Regions from separate parts of the Mus musculus genome. Here region 1 is reported to be linked to region 2. The links are microRNA targets in miRTarBase. Many come from high-throughput screens and were not tested one by one. Region 2 holds a microRNA gene; the other region holds the end of a gene's coding sequence.
What was found. Region 2 holds the annotated microRNA mmu-miR-1931 (AUGCAAGGGCUGGUGCGAUGGC, at 5,181-5,202, opposite strand). A microRNA usually pairs through its seed, bases 2 to 8, with sites in the 3' UTR of a target mRNA and lowers its output. Matches are read on the target gene's strand: a 7mer-m8 pairs with bases 2 to 8, a 7mer-A1 pairs with bases 2 to 7 and ends in A, and an 8mer does both.

Region 1: the mRNA of Peg3 is a reported target of mmu-miR-1931. Seed matches in the 3' UTR shown: 7mer-A1 at 5,761-5,767.

What each region holds. Positions count from the first base shown.
Region 1 is chr7:6,700,912-6,713,156 of GRCm38, forward strand. Peg3 (paternally expressed 3) reads right to left here. Exons shown (of 9, transcript NM_008817.2): 7 at 11,762-11,864; 8 at 10,940-11,032; 9 at 5,049-10,820. The coding sequence ends at 6,595. It also overlaps Peg3os. Among named protein-coding and RNA genes, the nearest start is that of Zim1, 11 kb to the left of the region's middle.
Region 2 is chr10:93,155,836-93,168,080 of GRCm38, reverse strand. Mir1931 (microRNA 1931) reads right to left here and starts at 5,296; the gene lies at 5,178-5,296. Cdk17 (cyclin-dependent kinase 17) reads right to left here and starts at 7,205. Exons shown (of 17, transcript NM_146239.2): 1 at 6,881-7,205.

The DNA of each region.
Region 1 (12,245 bases), not on the chromosome of region 2:
GGAGGGAGAAGAGGGCAGATGTGGGATGGGGGGTTTGTGGAGGGATAATTGGGAAGTGGAATATCACTTGAAATGTAAACGAATGGGATGATTAATTAAAAAAAAAAAAGAGTGGCCTTGGTCATGGTGTCTTTTCACAGCAATAGAACCCTAAGACACTTACCTAATTAACTACTAGTGTCTTTTGATAATGACTGGACATTGGGAACCCATGAGCACACATCAGCTGATGCTAGAAAGACATCAGATCTCATGCAATAAATATGGTGGTAGGGAATAATTACCCCTTCAAATAAGGTGTTGGTAGGGGAAGAAAGAACTCCTTAGGAGTACAAGTATTGATCATGCGTTCTCAATGGACAACCATTTCATTTCTGTTCTCTATTACTTTTCATCAGGATACTCTTTAGAAAAATCTTGAAAAAGAATGGATCTCTTGACTTGACCCATGCTGAAATCCCTTGTTATAGGATGAGTAATCAAGGTCTGACCAGATGCTGTGATATCTTGAATTAGAATGGTCCCTACAGGCTTATATAGTTGAATGCCTAGTCATTGAGGAGTGACACTACATGAGAAAGAATAGGAGGCGTTGCCTTGTTGGAGTAGGTGTGTCCTCATTGGAGGAGGTGTGTCACTTGGGTTTAGACTTTGAGGTTTCAAAAGCCCATGCCAGGCCCAGTGTCTCCCTCTTCCTGCGGCTTGTGGGTTAAGATGTAGAACTCTCAGCTATTTCTCCAGCATCGTGTCTGCCACGTGCCACCGAGCTCCCTGTCATGACGATAATGGACTAATCTTCTGAAACTGTAAGCAAGCCCTAATTAAATGCTTTCTTTCATAAGAGTTGCCAAGGGCATGGTGTCTCTTCACAGCAACCAAGATTGGTACGAATGAGGCAACCACAATTCAATGAGACTTCATTTTAATGTGAACAAAGTTTTAGAACTATGAGAACATTCAGAACTCTGCAGAGTGACTGGAATTCAGAGACATTTGTACTCTTCTCTCTGTAGAGCAATGTGCACTCTGGTGGTTGAGCAGAAAAAGTGGAGTGACTTGGCCATCACTTTTGATAGTTATGGGATCAGAGATGAAGCAGCCATGGATTCATGTCGCATTTCCACTGAGGTCACCAGCAGGGATCTAGTTAGGTACTGAGCTTAAAATGTGTGGTCATTATTGTTAGGTTTCAAACCCTGGGACAAATGGCAGAGGTGCTTATTTAGCATATTAAAGTGGATGCTGCCAGGTTCTCTCAGCATCCCTTAGTCCCTACCAGTTACAGGGCCCTCCTGACGGGCATACCCCATTCCCCCGACCCTAAACTTCTCCAGCCCAGGGTCTTGGATGCCCTTCCCCCAGCCACCCTTCCCTATATAATCCAACCATTTTGCTTACCTGATTCTTTTTGTTTTCTCCCCTCCACCCCCTCCCTCCTGGTTGGTACTCTTGGTGTTCCTTTCTCCCTCTCTCTTCCTCTGCCACTCTCCCCCCACGTCCCAAGGTCATATCCACTCTGGACTCTCCCAAATGTCCTTGCCTCTTTCTATGCTCTCCCACATATCTATAATAAACTTTCTCTTCCACCATTACCTAGGAGCAGACATGAATTTCTCTCTCTCTCTTAATTTGGTGCTGAAATCCAGGACCGGTCATGTTCCATGTTCCTTCCCTTTATATTTCTTCTTTCTTTCCCATTCAATTATGAAGCTACAAGAATGCTTAATAATTACTTCTCAAAAGGTGGGGGAGGGGTAGCCCTATTGGTTTAATACTTGCCATTCAAACATGAGGACATGGGTTTAATACTCAGAACTCACATAAAAATCCAGGTGTGGTGGCACACACTTGTAATCCCAGCACTTGGCTACTGGTTGGGGAAGTAAGAGGAACCCTCCTGGCTGTTGTACCCTGCCCCCTACCCTAAACTTCCCCAGCCCCTACTGGACTGCCCTTTCCCTAGCTGCCCTTCTCTATATAATCCAACCATTTTGGATTGTGTGCTAGCATGGCTCCAGTGTGTGAATACATACTTATACACACACACACACATACACACACACACACAAATTACCTCTCATACATTAGTTATGATAACCAGATGAACTGTTATGTTCCCAGTGGTGAATCTGGGTTAAAATATAATAAATACTTTTAATCTTCTGCAGAAGTCTGGAATAAATGCCTCATTGTGATGCTAAGCCCTAATATTATTATCCTCATGGTAAGGATTCATGAACCCTCATTTTATGGAACCTCATATTTCTAATTAATAATATCCTATAAACTAACCAAAATATATTTGTGATTATAATAAAATCTAAAACCGCTACTAGGTAGTTATGATTTAGTAGGATTAAGTATGATTTAGTCTAAAAGGAGCAGTTAAAGCTAGGATTCAGGTAGAATCCACAGATCACTGAAAAATGATTGATGGAGTATACAATCTTTAATAATAATAATAATAATAATAATAATAATAATAATAATAATAATAATAATAATGCAAAGTGAAGAAATGGCTTCATGGGCAAAGCACTTATAACAGGGTCATTAAAATCTGAGTTTATATCTCAGAGCCCACATAAAGCCTGCAGCTGTTGCATGCTTCTGTAATCTTAACACTCTTATAGAAATCTTAACTTGCAAGACATCTATCCTGGGGGGTACATAGTGAACTGAAAAGGGCCTTCTCTCGAATGATGGGAAGGTGGGGCTGACACCTGAGGCTGTTATTTGACCTTCACACACACACTGGGACATGAGAGTCTATGTCTGTACTCACACACAAATATCCATTCACACGTGTACATACACACAAAGGCTTATTTTTTTAATTAAGAATATGATTTGAAGATCAAAAATTTGTATGGCTAAGGGGCCACTAACATTTTGGATGTATAATTTTATCAACAGTGACAAGTCCCTGCAAAGTTACCAACCCCAAACACATAAACAGGACAAAGGAAGAGACTGAGAATTATCTTATTTTTAACTTTATTTTTATTGATGACACTATTACAAGATAGACCAACTACAGCCATATTAACAAACCAAAAGCCTGTGCACAGAAACAAGACAAAGAAAACAAATGGAGATGTTAACACAGTCTTTGGGTAATGACAATATGGGTGAGTTTCTCTTCTACATTTGCACATCTTCAAGGCTACTAGAATGGTCACGTACTGCATATATAAGCAATACGGGCAGCCTGCTAGAACACTATGACAAAGAACCCTCAAAGAAACTGAGAAAATACAGCTCACTGTAATTCCGCCACAACTGCCCTGCCATTCCACACCTTTCCACATTTCTTCCTGCTGTTGACACTACGCACTTGTCATGGAAAACCTCACAATCACACCAGTGGGGCACAGATCCAGGCGTTACCAGAAGTTTGTTGGAAATACAGTTTTTCTCGACTTCACTTCAGTTTCCCAGTTTTCTTTGAGTATGCCTTATATTTGTGATGCAGAGTACATACGTAAAGTTTGTTACCCAAACACTGAAGATTATTCAAGAAATCTTAAACAAAACATTTAACCATGAACCCCCCCCCCAAAAAAACACTATTTTTAATTGTTTCCCACATTTCTGTTTGTTTTAGGCATTATGCAAATCTATTTAACACTGTTTTAATCACAAATTTGTGCAATGACATGAAATGAAGGACACAGATGAAGATCTTAACAGTTGTTGGGTATGGGGAGTGTGGGCAAAGTTTTCTGTTCAATTTTACTTATTTTCCAATTTTCACTGGGTACATAGTATGCTTATGGTGGTGATATTACATACTAAACTTTATTATCAGGCGACTATTACAAGGAACATAGGGAAACTTCAAAGTATTTTACCGTAATTACACAGGAAATACTAGAACAGCTATCTTGAATACACATTTTGACACAGTTGTAATATATAAGTCTGTGCACAGCAACAAGAATAAACAAGGTATTAAAGAGTATATCTATCTTTGGATGGTGGGGACATGGGTTATCTTTCTCCACTTCTCTGTTATTTTCCAAGTGTTTCATAAAGAGTTCCAATTATGCTCACAATGGAAATATGATTCTTAACTTTTGAATAACACTACCATAAAGAACATTCTAGAAATTTAAGAAAATAATGCTTGACTATAAGCCTACAACAACACAATAGCTTTTGACTATAAGCGTACATTTTAAAACAGTTATAAGTGTAGTACAAATATGATTTTGTGTCCTGCTTTCTCCATCTCATACTTGGAGAATATCTACTTCACAACTCTCTGTGGTTATCACTATTGAACAACTGCATAAGAATCCAGGGCACTTTGATTAAATTACTCTTCCATAGTCTGGCACTTTAATTGTTCCTGATCTACTCACTTGGTTACAGTTAGAATGGACACTCAACTCAGACTTCTTGATGAGTCACTTTCTGAAAAGGGTCTAGTGGGGGTGACACTGTCTGTCACTGATACCGAGTCCCCACATTTACCCAGATGGCTATGACACTGACTTCCATTTCAAGGGAGCCTCACCAGTGAATCATTGCCCCTCTGTTTCTCTGGATGTCAGTTCCAACCTGGGGCTCTCTCTATGCAGCTGGTCTTCACCTACACGAAGCCATCCAAAAGGCCTTTCTTCCAACTCTCCAGGACACTTCTTTCTAATTTGTTTTTACCACCCTGACCTTCCAATCCCTGCTGCTGGTATCTTCTTTAGTCTGTCTGGTCTCCTTCCTAGATCTGCTGTCATCTTGGAACTCCCTTCTTTGGCTCACTCATTTCTATTTCTTGCCTTTAGGTCTCCAACCTCTGAAGACTTTGGCATTCACTGAGGCTCTGGCACACTCCCTCATGAGCCCCGGATCTACAGATCTAGAAGTCTGAGAGTCAGACCGCTTTCTCCAGCAGGTAAACTCTGTTCACGTTCTCAGATGATCTGTACTTATCTTGCGATCTTTCGGCTACAGATCCGCTTTATTTTTTTTAATTTTTTAAATTTTTAAATTTTTTTTTCCCCAGCCAACTGAAGGCCAAAAAATTGTCTTTCTATAGCCATGAGGGGAGGGGAAGTAAAGGAGCGCACGCAGTCCGTGTATCGGACGCAGAAAATCTCAAGCTGGGAAGTCAGTTTGTGACATCAGGTGACATGGAGACAGATGGCACACTAAATGGAAAGCTCAGAAATACTAAGGAGACTCCATGAGAAAGAACGATGGTAACAAAAAAACTTAAGGCTGCTGGGGAACCTGAGTCCATGTTAAGTAAGCTAGGATTAACTATAAAGAAAGCTTTGTGTGTGTGTGTGTATGTGTGTGTGTGTGTTTGCTTTTCTTAAAATGCGATAGACTTGGGGTTGACAGACACATAGAGAACAGGGGAATTAAGTCTGGAGACACAAAGATCTAAGGATTCTAGCTCCTGGGCACCCAGGGAGCACACTGACTTGTGGCAAGCACAATACAACACCACACAGGTGACTCAAGCGACGCTGCCACTTGTCACTTAAGGCAGGAAGCACACAGCAGCTAATGAAAGGTTGTCAGTTTGCTTCCTTATTTACAATGTAAGAGCCTCTCCTGTGGTTCCCAACCTTTCATTAGGCACTACTGTGATCTAGCGATGGTTGTCACCCACTCTTTAAAGGCAAAGACATTAAGATTTACAGGGAAAAGCTTCAGGTTTCATGAATTCACTATCAAACACACGATGAGTTGGTTAGAAAACAAAAACCCAAACCTTAAAGAACACCTCAAATGTAACATTTTTTTTTTTTGCAAGAAAACCACTGTAAGGTATATAAATGTAGGGATGGGTTGATTTGGGTCACAGAGACAAATCCATATATTGTAAAGGGTTACACAATCAGTCTCAAGGGGTCTGGGTGCACACCAAATGGCTGTAGAAGCTAAAATGCCTGTTTCCACACAGCCAGGATTCAAAGACACACGATCTTTCACACCCACACCTTCACAGGACTATCTAAGAGGTAGGGGACAGAACACTCCATTACTGGAAAGGATACTAATGGGGTTCAAATGATGCACAGAAAAGCTTCTGCATGGACAATACTTACAAATATATGCTAAATTGTTGCTCTCTTCCTCCTCAGGGAAAAAATCAGAGTACCAGGCTAGGTAGCTCTGTAGAGTAAACTGTAAATTCTATAGCACACTAAATCCAAATATATGTATCACTGATTTGCTCATTTATATACATGGCAGGAATCATTATGTATAGGGTATGAAAGGGGTATCATTTACAGTCGACTGGGGCAACCTCTGTGGTCTGGAATTGTCACTAGGTTTTCCCTCAATCTAGTTACTTAGATGAAATGGAAGATGTAGATGTTCACTCTAGCTTTCCCAAATATACACTGATGTTCCATAGGGAACAGCTAAAACTGAAAGAGTCCCTGCGTTCAATGTCTTTTCTTTTTTCAGTCTGTGATGAGAGTGAAAGTCTTTGATGTGAAGTCCGGTATGTATACAGGAAGGTGAATTTCTTATAGACATTATGGGTTGGTTTAGGCTCTCTTTGTGATTTATTAAGGGTCTGGTTCTGGGAAGAAGGTTTGGCTTTGCTCTTCTTTTCTTCAGCCTGGTTACTCAACCAGTGTGAGAATTCTGGTGTCTGGCAAGGGAGAGGCGGTCGTTGAAGAGTTGCCCGCACACATCACATTTGAAGTACTTGTCGTCTGCCTGCTCCGCACCACCTGCACTGGTGCTGGCCCGTTCAATGTAGCCAGAGCACTCTCCAGGAGCATTGGCCGGCTCGAAGATGATCACACTGGCGTGACTTTTCAGATGCTCGCCAAAGGCTGAGCTGGAAGCGAACGTTTCTGCGCATTCATGACAGTTGTAGTATGGTTCTTCAACCTCAATCTCTTGATCTTCTCCTTCCTCTTCTGGGTCTTCAATGTCTGCACCATCGGGCTCATCTGCATCTCCCTCTGGCTCTTCGACGTCTTCCTCAGGCTCGTCAGCTCTCTCTTCTGGGTCTTCGATCCCGGCTCCGTCTGGCTCGTCAGCATCACCGTTTGGCTGTTCAGCCTCTCCATTGGGCTGCTCAGCCTCGCCATCAGGCTCAGCAGCTTCTCCATCTGGCCCTTCAGCCTCTCCATTAGGCTCTGCAGCCTCCACCTCAGGCTCTGCAGCCTCCACCTCGGGCTCTGCAGCCTCCACTTCGGGCTCAGCAGCTTCTGCATTTGACCCCTGGATTCGCAGTACTTCTTGTGGGATGAGGACATTGGCTTCGACCTCTTGGGCAGTGGCAGCTACTATTTCTGACCCACCTTCTCGCTCAGGATGAAACACCATGCGCTCAGCGATGACAGTGTCGTCTAGGAAGGACTGGCCGCAATCTTTGCATTCGTACAGTGGGATGTGCTTCCTGAGGGGCTCGGTGAGAAAGGAGGCATGGGTGTAGGAGGGCCCATACTCATAGGGCTCATCCTTGTGAACTTTGGTGTGGTGGTCCCCGAGCTGTTTGGCAGTGAAGAAGCATTCCCCACAGATTGTGCACTCGAAAAGCTTCTCTTCTGTTTCACTCCCCTGATACTCAGTGAGGGCTAGGCCTTGAATGAAAATCTCATCTGAAAGCTCACTCTGTTCCATTATTTCATTATCTCTGTGCTGTCTCATGTGCTCATTTAGGGCAGAACTGTGAATGAAGCCTTGTCCACACTGACGGCATCGAATGGCTGACCCAGAAACGGCAGGATTCCTTTCAACAGTGCAATTTCTCCTTGGTCTCACGGGCAACAGAGCGATGAAAGCGTCATCACAGGCCTTTACGGAATACAGCTGGTCTTGTTCGTGAACTCTCTGGTGCTCGAAAAGTAACGAGCTGTGAATGAAAGACTCCCCACATTTTGGACATTCATATAGTTTCTCTCCAGAGCATTTTTTCTCAAATTCGCTGACGGAGTGGGCATGAACTTCAGAATGTGCATATTCACGACTGTCAACCAGAGCCTTTCTGCTATGGGTGTCCTGGTGGCTTGTGAGGTCATTGAGATCAGTAAAGCCCAGCCCACAGTCCTGGCATTCATAGATTGCATCACCAGCGTCATCTTTCTGATGCTCTTCAGAAACTGAGGCCTGAATGGTAGCATCTTCAACTTTCTCCTGGCCATGGGACTCTTCACCATGGGGCTCATCACCATGAGACTCTTCACTGTGGGGCTCTTCACTGCGCATCTCCTGATCAATGGGTTCCTTGTCATGGGGCTCATCACCGTGGGGCTCCTGGCCATGGGGCTCATCACCGTGGGGCTCCTGGCCATGGGGCTTATCATCATGGGGCTCCTGGCCATGGGGCTTATCATCATGGGGCTCCTGGCCATGGGGCTTATCATCATGGGGCTCTTCACTGCGCATCTCCTGATCAAGGGGTTCTTTGTCCTGGGGCTCATCACCATGGGGCTCCTTGCCACTGGGCTCCTTACCATATGGCTCTTTGTCATGAATTTTTTGACCATGAGTTTCTTTATCATGGGGCTCCTCGGCATTAAATGTCTCTTGGGCATAGATTTTCTGTACACTGAGGTTGTTGCTGGTAGTTGAGCGTTGTCCAAACGCTCTGAATTTACGCACTTGTTCTTGGATGAAACGTTCTTGGGCATAACTGGTCTGAGGGTCACTGGGCGCAAGGCTGCGGATGACAGAGCGCTCATAATGTCGGCTTCCAGAAGGTCTTTCTCTATCATGAATCTTCTGGTGCTCAATGAGCTCAGACCTACGAGCAAAGGCCTCCCCGCATTCCTGACACTCAAAGAACTTTGCCCTACGGTGACCTGCAAGCAACTCACCAAAAGGTAGGGAGTGGATAACAGAGGTCTCGTTGTTCCTGGGCTCAATGTACTTCTTTTTGGCACGAGCTTTCTGGTGTTCACGAACACTTGAGCTGGGAACTGAAAACGTGACATCCTGCTTAGAGTCATGGGACTCTCCAGAAAGACTTGGAGGCTCAGCACGGGATACATTTGGTGTGTGGTAGTTGCTGCTGCTACTTCCTTCATAAGCATCTTCTCTGGCAGGAATCTTCCTTCCCTTATTAATAATATCTGGGATATAAATGGAGGATTCTCCCCCCTCATCACATTGAATATGGTCATTTGCTCTATGACGTTTCAGAGGTCGAGGAGCTGGCAAGCTATGGATGATAGAGTCCTTGTATTCTTTTCCTTCATAGGTGTTGCCTCCAGAGTGTGCTCTGGGGTAGTAAATGCTGCTTGAGCTCTGGGTGCTAGACTCTGCCACTGGTCTTGGTTTACTGAACCCCAGTCCACCATGACTCTTCTGAGCTTCTGCGGAGCCCAAGCTATGAATAACAGACCTCTCATAGGATTTGCCCTGGGAGCCATTTTCCATGATGGGGAATTTCAGCTTGTCATTAGGGTTGACACTGATGGTGAACGGCTTGTCATCGTCTTTGTTTTCAGGTGGTCTTGTTATAGTATGACTCTTCTGAGATTCAACGAAGGGTTTCTCAAATCCTCTGCCCTCAAAGAAGTTCCTTCGGGAACGGTTTTTCTGATGCTCGCTGGAGTCTGAGTTTCCCATCAGTGCATCCCTGGCATTGTTAAAGTCGAACAGCTTCTCTCTGTAAGTTTTCTGGCGCCGTCGGAGAGACTGACTAGGGACAAAGGTCTCCTCGCACATCCTGCTCTTATTTTCAAATGGGTTTCCTCTAGTATGGATTTTCTGATGCTCCCTCAGGGATGAGAGATGAAGAAAGCTCTCCCCACACACTTTGCACTCATAGATTTTGTCTTTCCTGTACATCTTCCGAAACTCATTGAAGTTTGGACAGGTCAGAAAGGGTTCCCCAAGCTCACGCTCACGCTCCCGTTCACGTTCGCGCTCACGCTGCTCTCGTGCACGTGCACGTAGACGATCACGTTCGCGTTCACGCTCATTATCTCTGTCATCTGAGTTGCCTCTACCATGGATTTTCTGGTGCTCAATCAGGGCGGAACTGTGCAGAAAGGTCTCCTTGCACACCTTGCACTCATAGAACTTATCTTTGCCATACATCTTCTGCAGCTCACTAAAGGTCGGGCTAGGCATGATGGTCTCCTCATCCTCCTGATCTCTACATTCTGCAAGATATTCTCTAGCATGGATTTGGCGGTGCTCTGCCAGGGCAGCACTCCTACTGAAGGTTTCTCCACATTCCTTACACTCAAAGCGTTTCCCCCCACCCTGACCTTTTTGCACCTCATTGACAGCCACGCTATGAATAAAGGACTCTCCATATTCATAGAGGTTCTCCCTAGTGTGCATGATCTGGTGCTCAACAAACTCAGAGATGACACTGAACTGCCTCCCGCACTCATCACACACGTATGGGTTGGCCCCAAAATCGATTGACTGCGACTCAGAGAAGGAAGGGCTGTTCAGGTTGCCCATGCTCATAGCCTGTCTCATCTCAGCACCACACTCAAAAGGCTTCTTCCTCACACAGCTTTTATGCTCATGGCCCGAACCCCGCTCATCAGAATCAAAGTGGTAACGCCTCTTCCTTTCTAGAGCTCTGCTTCTGGAAGCCAGGTCTGCGTTGAACCGGAAGCCGCCCCTAAATGCGCTCCCTTCATAACCCCTCTCCTGGATCACTGACTCTCTTCTGCTGGAGGAACTGTCCTTCCAGTTATCATTAGGCCTGGGGAACCTTGGAGGAGGACGCTCGTTCAGCTCCCTTGCTCTTCCGGATTTGGGGTTGCGAGCCACATCCTTGATGAATTTTTCCATTATCACTCCATGAGAAGACTCGTCCTCACAGATCCCACGCCTGTGGGATGGCTTTTTGGCCTCAGGCATGGGTTTGAGACCTGGAAAGAAACCCCCATATGTAATTCCCTAGTCTCTAAGTTCGGGATAGCATTTTCCTTTGGTGTTTATGAATGTGAAATATGGATTTTTCTCCATGTGGGATCGGCTTGTCACTCACCTCGGCTGGTGCTTGGGTAGGCAGTTCTCTTGGACCTCGATGAGTGGCCTTGTGTCATGTGAGAGTGTCGGTCATCTTCGGCAAGCTGGACTCCTATAGTTATAAGAACAAAATGGCAGTTGCAATTTACATCGAAGACTGAGACTCATCACCATCAATTGATCTGTTACCCCACCCACAGTAAAATAAGAACTATCTCATATTCAAATCTTGGGATGTCTTTCATTTTCTTGATATGCATTTTCTAACCTGATATAATCTACATTTTGATTCCCTTAGTTTAATCACACCCCCAAAAAATGGTATAAAGACTCCTGTTCACTTCTTTGAGAGACTCCATTCTTTCTTGAGGGTCTCACTATGTAGGTGTCCCAGAATGGCCTCACCTGGTGATCCTCCTGTTTTAGCACAGAGCACTGGAGTTCCAGGCATGTGCCATTGTACTCCTACCCCTACTTGTCAATGATCTTTCTCAACTTACTGTCCAGCACCATGTATCCCTTGGCTTTATGAGTTTTCACAGCAACTGCCTACGACCACTTTAGGCTGTGTGCATCTGGAGGAGTCCACATGTGGAGCTGAGGTTGTATAGGAAAGCTCTATGACAAAGTCCATAACCCCAGTCTATACAATATATTCTTCAACCAAAGCCAGATGGATTTTCTTGAAAACTCAAACCTCATTTCCCCACAGAGGAGCAAGTTCACCAAAGGCCTTCTAAGTCCAAATAGACTAGCATGGATTCAAACAACTTGAAACAAACAAGGTAAGCAAAGGCTCCGCTGGAGGGATTGGAAGTGGCCCAGGGAAGTAGGTCTTTACCCAGCGAGAGCAGCTTTCTGTAGTTCTCCAGGTTGTCCTGAATTGGATTCTGAGGCTTCTTGTCCTCTTTGAGTTCCACAACATTCTGGTATGACTCGGCATCCTAAAACATCAAACACAGGCCCCTCAATGGAATCTATTCCCGTGGATGTTCAAAGAGAGAATAATGTTGGCGACATGGGAGCTACGTATATGAAGTTATATAGGAAGTGCTCACGGTATTTGGGGTTCTGAGCGATCCAAGGCAAGTGTTACTAGGGGCCTACATCGTACCTACCTTGTGCTACACTCTGAGGCAGATCCCAAAGACGCATGACACATATTCCTTGCCCTCATGCAGCTTATAATTTGGTTGGAGAGAAAAGACTCATGAAACAATTAGAGAACAATAAACAGTAAATTGGGATACAGATAATAAATGCTACATGGGTTTCTTGGAGGGACAGTTCAGGGTGGGCCTGAACAGTGAGCAAAGGTTTAATAG
Region 2 (12,245 bases):
TCAACACCCATAGTTCTTCATCGCTGAAAGCCGGCTAGCTCTAATCAACGCTGCCACTTTTCTGGCCCCTAAAAAAAAAACAAAAAAAACAAACAAAAAAAAAAACAAAACAACAAAACAAAACAAAAAAAAAACAACAACAACAAACATGAAAAACCCCACATTATTTAAAAAAGAATTGTCTCAGTTTCGTTTGTGAGTTGGAAATTTCTCACAAATATATAGCTCTTATCAACCTTTATTTGTATTAGTGAACAATAATATGTGCTAAAAACAACTGTCAGCCATCAATGAAAAATACTGCAGCATTAAAAATATGCTTTGAGAAAAACAAAATGACCACATAATCTAGGGGACAGTGAAAAGATACCTTCGAATATTTTCTTCATTATTTACACACATAGAAAACTGAAAATTCTTGAACATATAGTAACAAGTACATAAAATGAAAGACAAAACAAAACACGCTATGAAAAGACAGGGGGCTGGAGAGACAGATCTGTCACCAACGGCTTCCCTAAGCACGAGGCTCTGAGTTCAGGTTTCTAGAACCCACAAGAAGAGCTGTGCATCGTGCCCATGTCTACAGGCCAGTGCTGGAGACTGTGCAGACAGGGCAGGGTGCTCAGTCTACTGCCCGGACAGTCTAGGTGAAAACATTAACTCAGGTTCAATTGAGAGAATCTCTGAAACAGAAAGAGAAAGGAAAGAAAGAGAGAGAGAGGGGGAGGGAGGGAGGGAGGGAGGGAGGGAGGGAGGGAGGGAGGGAAAAAAATTTTGAGACAGAATCTCACTGTATAGCTCAGAATGGCTTTAAAGTTGTTTGTAATCCTCCTGCCTCACCCTCCTCAGCACTGGGACTGCAAGTATGTGCCAGTATGACCAGCTAAATGATTCTCAGTATTAGCCTTTATGGGGGGGGGGATTCCTTTTCACCTTAATTAAACACCTTTCAGGAAATAATATTTTCTGTTCTTTAAATTGAGTACGAAATGTATGCTAACAATACTAATTTATAGATTTTTTTTCTATCCTAAAGATCAATTTTCAACATGAAAAATATTATCATTCTATTCTCAGTGGGTATCTGATTAAACATATGCAAAGTTTCTACCTTGCTTACAGTAAGTTATATCAAGATAAAACGAAACAAAACAATAGGTGGTGTGTGTATTTGTTGAAGTTTTCACTTTGATGGTATCATGGATTGGCTCCCAAATATTCCCAGGAGTTCAAGGGTTAAAAGCAGTCTCAATGCCACAGGGTTTCAGACAGTGGACTGTCTGGAAGGTGACTGGATCATGAAGGCATTGATCTCACAGATAGATTAAGGTATTTATAAATTAATAACCTAGAGAGAGGTTGGGAGGCAGTGGAAACTTCAGGAGGAAGGTCTAGGTAAGGCAAGCAGGTCCTGGAAGACATGAGCATGAGGGATACAATCCATCCCAGGCTCCACCTCCCGCCTCCCTTTGCTCCCCTGACAACAGGAGCAAGCGGATCTGCTTTGCTCTACCACATGCACGTTCCTCACCATGATGTTCTGTCTGACCACAGGCCCAGAAACCAGGGAGCCAAATAACCACCGAAACCTCTGAAACAAGTGTCAAAACAACGGCCTCCTCCTGAAGGGTGACTTTTCCCCTTAGGAAACACTCCTCTGTCCCAGGAGTATAAAGCTGGCCAACACAGATGGCATACGCTCACATAATGAAAGCATTATCATTTAAATGATAGAAAGTCAAAACTTCTAAGACATGTAAAATCAACGTGAACGAACACAGACATTTTGGAAAGAAAGCAAATGTACTTAAAACCTCCGTGAAAGAAGCCAGGGTGGGGAGGACTGTGGGACAATCTTGCACACACACTGCCTGTGCTTTCCTCTGACTTAGCGCGGCTTCTATGTTAGCCAGCAAGCTGTTCAGCATTGCATCCTGGTAGAGACACTATGAGCACGGCATTTTTGAATGTTAACTGGATCTTGGGTCACTATAGTGGTGGGACCCTGGGGGAAATTACCTAACCTAAGACCTCTGCTTCCTTATTAGGAAAAAAAGGTTTACCCAATACAATAGGTTTCCTGTGAGGATTTAACAAAACAATAGAGTCTAGCACAGCACCAGGCACAACTGAGGATCTTTCTCACAGCTTCCGTTAAACACTGAACATTTGAGTGGCTTCAGATTCGCGTGTTGAGACTCTCACCTACGGGTACAATGGTTTTTGGAGGTGATCTGGGCGATCTGACTAGATTTAAGCAAGGTCCAGAGGGCAGGCCTTTATAATAGTAGTTATAAGAAGAAAACCCTCTAGCCCATGTTTTCTTCCTCTACCCCCCCCCAGCACCCCCTCCCATTTTTTCTCTCATCCTCCCTCTCCACCTGCAGGCACCAAACAAAAGGCCAGAAAACCACAGTTGAGACAGGCATCTACAAACAAAGAAGAGAGCCCTCACCAAAATTTAACCGGTTTGGCACTGTGACCTCAGACTTCAGGAATCCAGAACAGGGAGGAAAAAGCTGTTTTAAAAAGCCACTCAATGAGTGATGTTTTGTTACGGAAGATGAAGTGGACTAAGATAAGGTTTATCAAAGAGTGTTTTTGAAGATTCTTTGGAAAATAAAATCATTTTCACTAAATCCAAATTAGCTCCCTCAAGCCTAGCTCCAAACCATTTAACCAGTAGGTTATGGGTCTCAACACATGAATTTGTGGGGCCATGCAATCATTCAGTATACAGTATGAACTACAAGGAAAAAAAGTAATTAAATATTAATTGTGCCCTCTGCTAGGCAAGCTATCCTGACACACTGTGGATCTGATCTGTAAATCAACCTCCTAAAAACAAGTGTTTAGGATGGCACGTTACTGTGGACCATAAAACATTAGATTTACTCTTAATGTTTATTGATTTTCCAAGTTGGCCAGCAGAGAGAGCAAAACATGGCAGAGTGAGAAAGTTATGCCCAAAACAGTTTTTTTCAGGCTCTTCACAATTCCTTTTTCCAGGTCAATATTTTACAGATGTTAAAAGTAAACACACGCACTCGTGCACGCACACACACACACACACACACACACACACACACACACACACACACACACGAAACTAAACACCAAGTGATTATACTGTGAGCAAAAGGGTAACAAAGCCATAAAGACAAGAAGAATCCTTAAAAGCCCGTCAAATCAGTCCTCTCTCCAAATAGTTCAAAGAAACTGGCAACATTACAGGTTGAATTTGCTAGTGAGCTATGGAATGAGTCTTCTAGCATTTACAAGTACTATGGAAAACACATTTTAAATACCATTACATCAGCACTAAAAATTAAAAATGTCATAATCGTTTTATAAAAATAATTCAAATACAATATTAAAAAGCTTGAGCAAAAATACTCTTTAAATTCGAAATAATCCAAAATTACTCTTCCTTTGCATGCACAAAAGGAGAGATTGTTTCTAAAATAGCCTAGAGACTATTTCTGTAAGTAGAGTTTAACATATAATGGCCTTTCTCCACCATCAGAGAAATACACTTATTCAGTAATTATCCACTCTGGAAGTAGAAAACCCATGTAGAAGAATGTCAGAACGTGAAGTTGTAATTATACAAAGAACAACAATAAAATGCCTACTATGAGACAATAACAAAGGAAACAGGCAAAGAAATGCTGTGTTCAGACAGCTTTTTAGTAGTATCAGAAGGCATCCCGGTCTCCCCTTTGGAACAGCCTCCTGGGTTGCCACAATCCTTCTCTGTGCTGGTCACAATAAGGTACCCCACTGCTCTTCAGTCTGTAGCTCCATTTCACCAAGGAAGGAAAAGGAAACAGTTTTGCTGGGAGTTGAGGGTTGAGAACAAGCCTTGCCAGAGCCAAGCAAATAATCTTATACCCCACGCCTTCCCATCACAATTGCAGGACCACACAATATCTGAAAACTAAATGTATCAAAACATACCTTAAAATCCCTGTAGTCAACAGGGCTTGTAGTCACCACAGGTGTAAGCTACAGAACAGGACACGATTTTCTGTCTTCTAGTTTTTGTAGAACCAATTGAAGCCATTAGCATCATTAATGCTACCACACTCTGAATTAAGGCCTCCAATTTCATCTTTCCTTACTGTGCACATATCTCTTCTGCTCTTTTGATAACCAACTCGTACAGGACAGATTACACTGTGTCATACAGTTAACACTAAAAGTTACTTCCTTGGGCCTGAACCCAAAAAAGGGAATAAACTACATATTTGACAAAACCCTATTTTAGGAATGCAAAAACTACGATATTAACAAGACTCTAATTCTACATTTTTTTTCTGACTGCAAAAGTAATATGAAAATTTAGAAAAATAGAGGTAAAAAATAAACGACCCACAATCCAGAAACACTTATTGGGCATACACTTTCTTGAAGTGACACAAATTTTTATTATCTAAGTAGGTACTAATAAGTGTGGAGAAAAAATATTCACAGTTTTGATACATTTATTAAGCATCAATTACTATAAAGTGACCTGTAATTTCACAAAAGTCTCTAAAACATTGACTGGGAAAGAGGAAGTTGAAAATGCAGACTAATCCCTAGCTGAAATATCTAAAATTTTAGTGTCAATAAGGACAGCACATTGTAGGATATGAATATCTTTACAGCAGCACTAACATTACTGCACCTACAATAAATGGATCTTACTTTGACTTTCTTCTTATTCATATTTTCATTAGCATTCTTATTTCCACTGTAAAAATAGTTGAAACTCCTATGTTTGCATAAGAACTTTAAAATACATATTATTGTTGTTATTATTTATTATGAATCAATTGTTGTTGGTGGTGGTGGTGATGATGTTCGTGATGTGTGTGGTGTATGCATGTGGAAATCAGAGGACAACGTTGTGCTGTTCTTGCCTCCGTCTTTGCATGTGTTCCCAGGATTGAACTCAGGCCCTGAGACGGGCACCCGTACCAACTGAGCCATCTTGCTGGCACTTGCATTGGAATTTTTTTTTTTTTTGTAAAGATTTATTTATTTATTATATGCAAGTACACTGTAGCTGTCTTCAGACACACCGGAAGAGGGAGTCAGATCTTGTTACGGATGGTTGTGAGCCACCATGTGGTTGCTGGGATTTGAACTCTGGACCTTTGGAAGAGCAGTCGGGCGCTCCTACCCACTGAGCCATCGCACCAGCCCTTGCATTGGAATTTTAAAGCAGCTTCAATTCAAAGGCTCTGCAACAGATCTTTGACGAGCAGCATTCAAAGAGTTAATGCTTCTGGCCTAGGAGATGGCTCGCCAGATAAAAGAACAGCGCTCTTCACATTCCTGTGTTCACTCACAACATTAGAAATAAAAATTAAAATGAAAGACGTCCTTAGTCATATTGTTTTCTTTTGTTTAAACCCGCTGTTTATGGAATTATGCAGATGTTAAAAGAACAAAAAAAAAAAACTGAAATGACTTCATTAACCAGGTGACACCACATTTAATACATAAGCCAATTCCTGGTGTTCACAAGAGAACAAAATAAAACCAATTAACATTCCCACTAGCAATTTTTTTTTCCTCCTTAAATTTAGTTTACACATGTTTCTTGATTCAAAGGTTTAGGTCAATTCAACTGATCAGAGGTCGTCTTCTGTTCCGTGGTTAACAACGTCAATTTCCAAGTCACTCAAATCCATTACTTTGATAGTCTTGCACAAATGCAGTTAAAAAGAAACCCAACAAAGGATTAGGAAAAAACAAACAGCAAAGTTGGGAGGCAAGAGCTGTCTCCCTTAGTCAAGCATTGCCTGTGACGTGACAGAAGCTCTGCTACCAGAAATACACTTTGCTGGCCCAAGGAATGGCCAAGACGCAAAACAAAATTTGTGACTTGTGTCTAGAGAATCAATTTGGCTCAGGAGGCGATAAAACAGGGCCACTGATGCGTCGTCTTCGATGGCCACATTAACATAAGGGAAAGGCGCCACGGATTTCAGCTAAAGGCTTTTGCCATTTTTGAAGAAGAAAAGCTAATTGTTAATGGCCATGTGACACAGAAGATCCCAGAAAGGAAAGGGTGGGAGGAAAAAAAAAAAAAAGAGAAGAGTTCAAGGCAGTTCAGGGTCAGACCAAGTCAGGCATCCTGTCATTAGCAAACGTTCCCCTAGCTGAAGGCAAAATACCGCTTACCCCAGAAGGAGTGGGTGAAAAGTAGGGGAGAGAATGAGTGGGGAACCACAGGGGACGGCGAGGTGGCAGCGTGGGGGTGATGTGGGGAAGAAAACTGGGGCCACCCAGCTGAGATGGGGAGCAGAAGCAACCGGACAAAAACACCGAGAAAAGCAACTGCGGCTAAGACAACGGTGGAACACACACACACACAACCCCCTCTTCCCGGGTTCTCTGGGTTTCCCACAGTCCCTCCGCCTCCGGTTGGAGCGACACTCAGGGGTGTGACCCGCCAGCAAGAGGGCTGCCCGGAGCTTTGTGTCGACCCGCTCCCCCACGAGAGGGCTCCTCCCCCGCGGAGCTGCCCACCCACCCGCGCGCAGCCTCCCGCGTCTCCAAGGAGCCCGCAGCGCCGCGTCCTCGCCCACTCCCGCCGCCCCGCGCCCGCGCCTCCACCCCGGCCCCGGGGACCTTTGTGTCTCGGGGGGACTTTCCGCCTCTTCCCCTCCCGGCGCCCCACGGGGCCAGCAGCCTCCCCAGGAAGCCTCGATCGGCTGCGAACTCTCAGCGGCGGCGCATGGAGCCCCTCCCCCCAGGTCCCCCAACCAGCTCCGCACTCCCGCAGCCCACGCCGCGCGTGGACATGCGACCGACAAGATCCCCACTCGAGCCGCCCGCTGACAGGCGTCACGATCCCTGCCCAGCCCCGCTGCCAACTCACCAGCAAGTGCGGGGACCGCGGGCTCCGGACCGGCGGGCGCGCAGAGCGAGCGAGCGGATGCAGGTCCGGTGGTGGCGGACGCGCCGAGGCGCCTCAGGCTCAGGCCTCCCCCCACCCCCCAACCTCGCGCCTTCCGCTCCGCGAGGGCCGCCGGCCGCCTCACGCGTGGCAGAGCCCCCCGCTCAACATGGCTCCCGGGCCGCGGAGCCTCGCGGACGGCCCAGTACTCCCGGCCACCGAGCCGGGGCGGAGCGAGGCGGCGGGGCGCGGGCTGCCGGACTGCCGGGCGCTGGGTAGACCGCAGCCGCCGCTCTCGTTCGTCTGAGTGCGCGTTGCTTTCTCTCGCTCGGAGGCTGCGGCTTGACGCCTCCGCCTGTTCCCCGGAGCGAGCGAGAGCGGGGGTTAGAAAAAAAAAAAGAAAAGAAAAAAGGAAAAAAAAAAAAAAAAGACTTTTATTGAAACGATCCAACCAGCGGCGGCGGAGAAAAGCGACCGGCTGCGGGAGCTTCCCCACCCCCGCCTGCACGGCTCGCCTGGGGCAGCGCGACCCCTGCCGGCGGTGGCGGCGACGGCGGCATGCGGGGCGGAGCCTTGCCTGGGGGTGGGGCTTATGACTGGGGCGTGGTCTGGGCGGGGCTGGGGGGTATTCCCAGGAAACTTCAAGCGTGGCTTCAAACGCGGCTGGAGAGCAAGGGAGACCCTGTCCGTGGACAGAACGCTGAACAGTGTCTGACCATCGCGATTGGTGAGGAACCGATCGCCACAAATCAGCCCCTCACTGTCCCCTCGCAACAATAAAACTCTGCTTGAAGTATTCCAGGCGCTACTGTACACAGGATGCCTGCCTCAGTACAGTGCTTCAGATGACCCACAAAGAAATACCTCGGTCGATTGCTGCAATTTTCTTCTGTTCTGTGACTGGATATGCGTGGCCAGTGCAGTAATCACCCACGCACAAAGCTTTGATTTCAACCACAGTGTTTTTAAATGTTATTACACTGTTGGCTCTAGGCTGGGGGGGGAGGGTGGAGGGGGGAACTAAAATGGTTACAATAAAACTGTGTTGTGAAAGAGTCAATGCTAAGTTATAGGACCCAGAAAGAGATACTGTTGCAGTGAGTTAGATTCTGTTGCTTGAAGGAGGCAGGCCAAAGAGGTTGGCCCAGTTTCTGTAAATCTTTTTACTTTCTTCTTCCCCAGTTAGGAACAACTGAATGTGTAGACAAACTAAAGTGATCCTGGCCCATTTCTTTCCACAAGTAGGGATAGAAGCTTAAAGTAAAAGCAGACTTAAGTGGCAGAGGAAAATACTGAGAGAACTGAAAGAAGACAGTAGGGTCCGGATGTGGACACCCTAACCAAGAAAAGGTTAACGGTATAAAAGGCCAGTAGGGTGAAGGTTGGGGTTTTTTGTTGTTGTTGTTGTTATGTTTTGTTTTTCTGTTCTTATCACCAGGAAGTGCACGATATATTTTAAATCTCATTATCTACTAAGGACTTCTGAATCGTATCTTTTCTGATTGATGCGCCTTTCCTTGAAGATACTTCCTGCCCTTCTGTCTAGAACTTTGTCGGACACAGCTGGATGTGTTTTCTACAGCTCATAAGGTTCATATATATCAACCGGAGTTCTCCTGTGTCTCCAAAATTACCAGAACTATAGGTTAACAATAATTATCCTCTACAAAGACTTCAACACTTGTTTACCCTATAAAAATGTCCATATTTATACTTCCCTTCAAGAATGAGTGTGTACTTTTGAACAGCAGTTAATGATTTTTTTAATATATGTCTAATTCAGGCAATTTTATAATATGTTAGGAGCTAGCATCATTTCAGAGTTCTTTGTAAGTTAAAGAAAAATATATGTTACACATGACCTACTTTTATACCAAACATTTTCACATGCTTGCCTTATATTCAAAAGCAATTGTGTGGGGGTGTTGTTGTTGTTGTTCTCTTAGTAAATATTCAAAATAGTAAAAAAGGGAATCTACATAATTGCACCCTGAGTTTCTGCATCTGAAATTCTTCCTTCACATCACTGGACTGGAATTAGCCCATTAGAAACCAAAGATAATTCTGCCTTGGCCAAAATTCCCAAGAAATATTTCCTCTGGTATAGCACCGTAGTCGTAATTTGATCCTTAGAATCGAGGTGGTTATTGCTTGATCTATTTGTTCTTTCACTTAAAAACAAAAAATTGCTAACTGCATCGTTTGGACCAGGTACCATGTTAGACCTTAAAGACTCAGAGGTGAAGATAGATTTGCCCTTGAACTCTGTCAGTGGAAATGAGCAATATACGCACAGATCACTTAAGGAACCAATGGGTTAATGCAGAGACAGGAGAGACAAACAAAATCAAACAGCCATGGTAATGAGATTGAGGAAGGAGGTGGCAGGATGCTTCAGGTGTCTACGATGAGGGAAACAGGAAGATGAGCAGAGGCCAGAAAATGCTGACAGACCTTTTCACTTAGTATGAAGTTGTTAGGGATTATTTATATTTGGGGTTTTTTTGTTTGTTTGATTTTGTTTTGTTTTTCTTTTTTGTTGTTGTTTTTCTTGTTTGTTTGTTTGTTTGTTGTGTGTTTTTGTTTGTTTGTTTGTTTGTTTCAAGACAGGGTTTCTCTGTGTAGCCCTGGCTGTCCTGGAACTCACTCTGTAGATCAGGCTGGCCTCGAACTCAGAAATCCGCCTGCCTCTGCCTCCTGAGTGCTGGGAGTGCAGGGATTAAAGGCGTGCACCACCACGCCCAGCTTGTTTTGTTTTCATTCTTCTTCTTCTTCTTCTTCTTCTTCTTCTTCTTCTTCTTCTTCTTCTTCTTCTTCTTCTTCTTCTTCTTCTTCTTCTCCTCCTCCTCCTCCTCCTCCTCCTCCTCCTCCTCCTCCTTCTCCTCCTCCTCCTTCTTCTTCTTCTTCCTTCTCCTCCTCCTCCTCCTCCTCCTCCTCCTCCTCCTCCTCTTCCTTCTTCTCTCTCTCTCTCTCATTTATTTGAGACCTCTCTATTCTGTAGCTCTGGCTGTCCTAGAACTCACTATGTAGACTAGGCTGACCTCAAATTCACAGAGAGCCAGCTGCCTTTGCCTCTGCCTCCCAAGTGCTGGGATTAAAGGCCTGTGCTACTATACCCAGCTTTGTAAAATAATTTAAAACCTGGAATATTTTTTTTAACTCTGAATGTTTTCCAAACTGTAGTTAAATATGTTTTGCTGGTTTTTTGTTTTTTGTTTTTTTTAATCTCCCTGCAACTTGGTGAAGGAGAGAGAGATGTGGGAAGAATTCCAAGTTCAGATCCACTTGGAAAATGCCACATTTGCCTCTTCTGGAATGCCACAGTGCACATTTATATACGGAAAGCAGGGAGAGGTTCTGAGATCAAAAATAATTTTCTTTCCAGTAAGGCTAATGTAAGCCAAGCTGCTTTGACCACAGAGAAGCAGTGTCCATGGGGCATACATGAAAATACTGGGGAGACAGTCAAAAGTCATTGAACATGGGATAAAATGAGGCAGAAATGAAATTGTTCTTTAGTTACCAACAACATACTTTAGAGATGTTTGGCTCCTGGCTTTACGGAGGGCTCCCGGCAGGCCTGTACTGAGACTAAGGAGAGATCAGATAGTTTGTCCTCCCTGCATTCTATTTCCTCCCCTTACCTAAACTGATACTCAATTTAGAAAAAATCAGAAGTGGGCTCTTAATGAAATAAAACAGATTTAAAGTTTAGGGCATGGTGGAACATGCCAGGGAAATGGAGGCAGAAAAGAAAGAAAGAAAGAAAGAAAGAAAGAAAGAAAGAAAGAAAGAAAGAAAGAAAGGAAGGAAGGAAGGAAGGAAGGAAGGAAGGAAGGAAGGAAGGAAGGAAGGAAGGAAGGAAGGAAGAAAGAAAGAAAATTCAAGTTCATCCTCAAATTTGAGATGACATCAGGGAAGGCTACAGGAGATTCCCACCTCAAGTAAACAATACAAACAAAAGAGCATACCTAAGAGTCCTAAAAAGCGATGCCAGTTTTAACAAATTCTTTCCTTTTTAGTTTATTGAGTGTTTATACTCTTGTATAGGAGTGCTTGTCACTGTGGAGGCCAGAGACTAAAACAAGACTCTTCCTCTATCATTCTCCACCCTTTCCCAGTCTCGCCCTCCCCTCCCCTTCCCTACCCCTCCCCCCTCCCCCAGGCAGATGTTTCTCTATGTAGCCCTGGCTATCCTGGCACTGGCCTTGAACCTAGAGATCTGTCTGCCTCCGACTCGTGGTTAAAGGTTTACAGCACTACAGCCCAGCTTGGCAACCTTAGTTTTTTGGGGTTTTTTTGAGACAGAGGCTCAGTGATTGGATAGACTTGGGATCCTCAGGTCTCAAATCCGGAAGTGCAGGAATTAGAGGCCCCTGCCTCAGGGTCTGAGGATCTGCACTAAGGTCCTTAAGTTTTTTGGTGCAAGTTCTTTGCCCACTGAGCCATCTCTCCATGCCTAAATCCTCTCTTTTACTAAATATGGTTGAGAAGTACGAGCCGGAGAAACACTGGTCTTCCTTGTTCGGTACATGAAGGATGATGTGGCGATTGGCAATCTTCCCAGGAGAAAATAATCAATGAACATTAATTTTTTTTTTTTTTTAAGAATGAGACAGAGCACGGAGCAGCAGTGGCCTGTGGTCTGTCATATTGAAATCCGTCTCAGTGTGTTTGGAATCTTCTAATCTTTGACCATTCATCAACAAGTCATGTTTTCAGTAAACTAACTCCCATGTCCACTCTAACAATGATCCAGGAACATTTAAAATTGAGAGCTGTGAAGAGGAGGCTAGAGAAAATATTTGGTATTTTGAGCCATCATAGGAAAAGAATTTTAAGGAGTAGGTGAAAAAGAGAAAAAGAGTTAAACCTTACAAATATACTTTTTTCATCAATAAAGCTGCAAACAGGAGCATTACATTTCTTGTAAAAGAAAAGACGAGAACACAAAGCTAAGCAGGTCAGAGGTCTAGCCTGAAGCACTATTGTAGCAATTATGCTTTGCTGCTGATTGCAGCAGATCCCACTTCTTCCAGCCCTGCCAGTAGGACAAGTCCATAGATTACTTAAGAGCTTTCCCACATGTAAACTTGGACTAATAATGTACCTGCCAGGTTATAAGGGCTAAGTAAGACAATGTCATAACACCATGTGAATTGTTCCGTTGCATGCCACATGAACACTGTTTCTCGAAGGAGATTTGGGCCAAGGGTAGTCTGAGCTTCAGCGATAGCTTCACCAACAGCTTGAATAATGTCATCAGGACCCTTGGCTCATTCCCCACTAGGTAAGCCAACCAATGGCTATAGTTATGTGTAGCTCTTTACATCTGGGATCATACCTC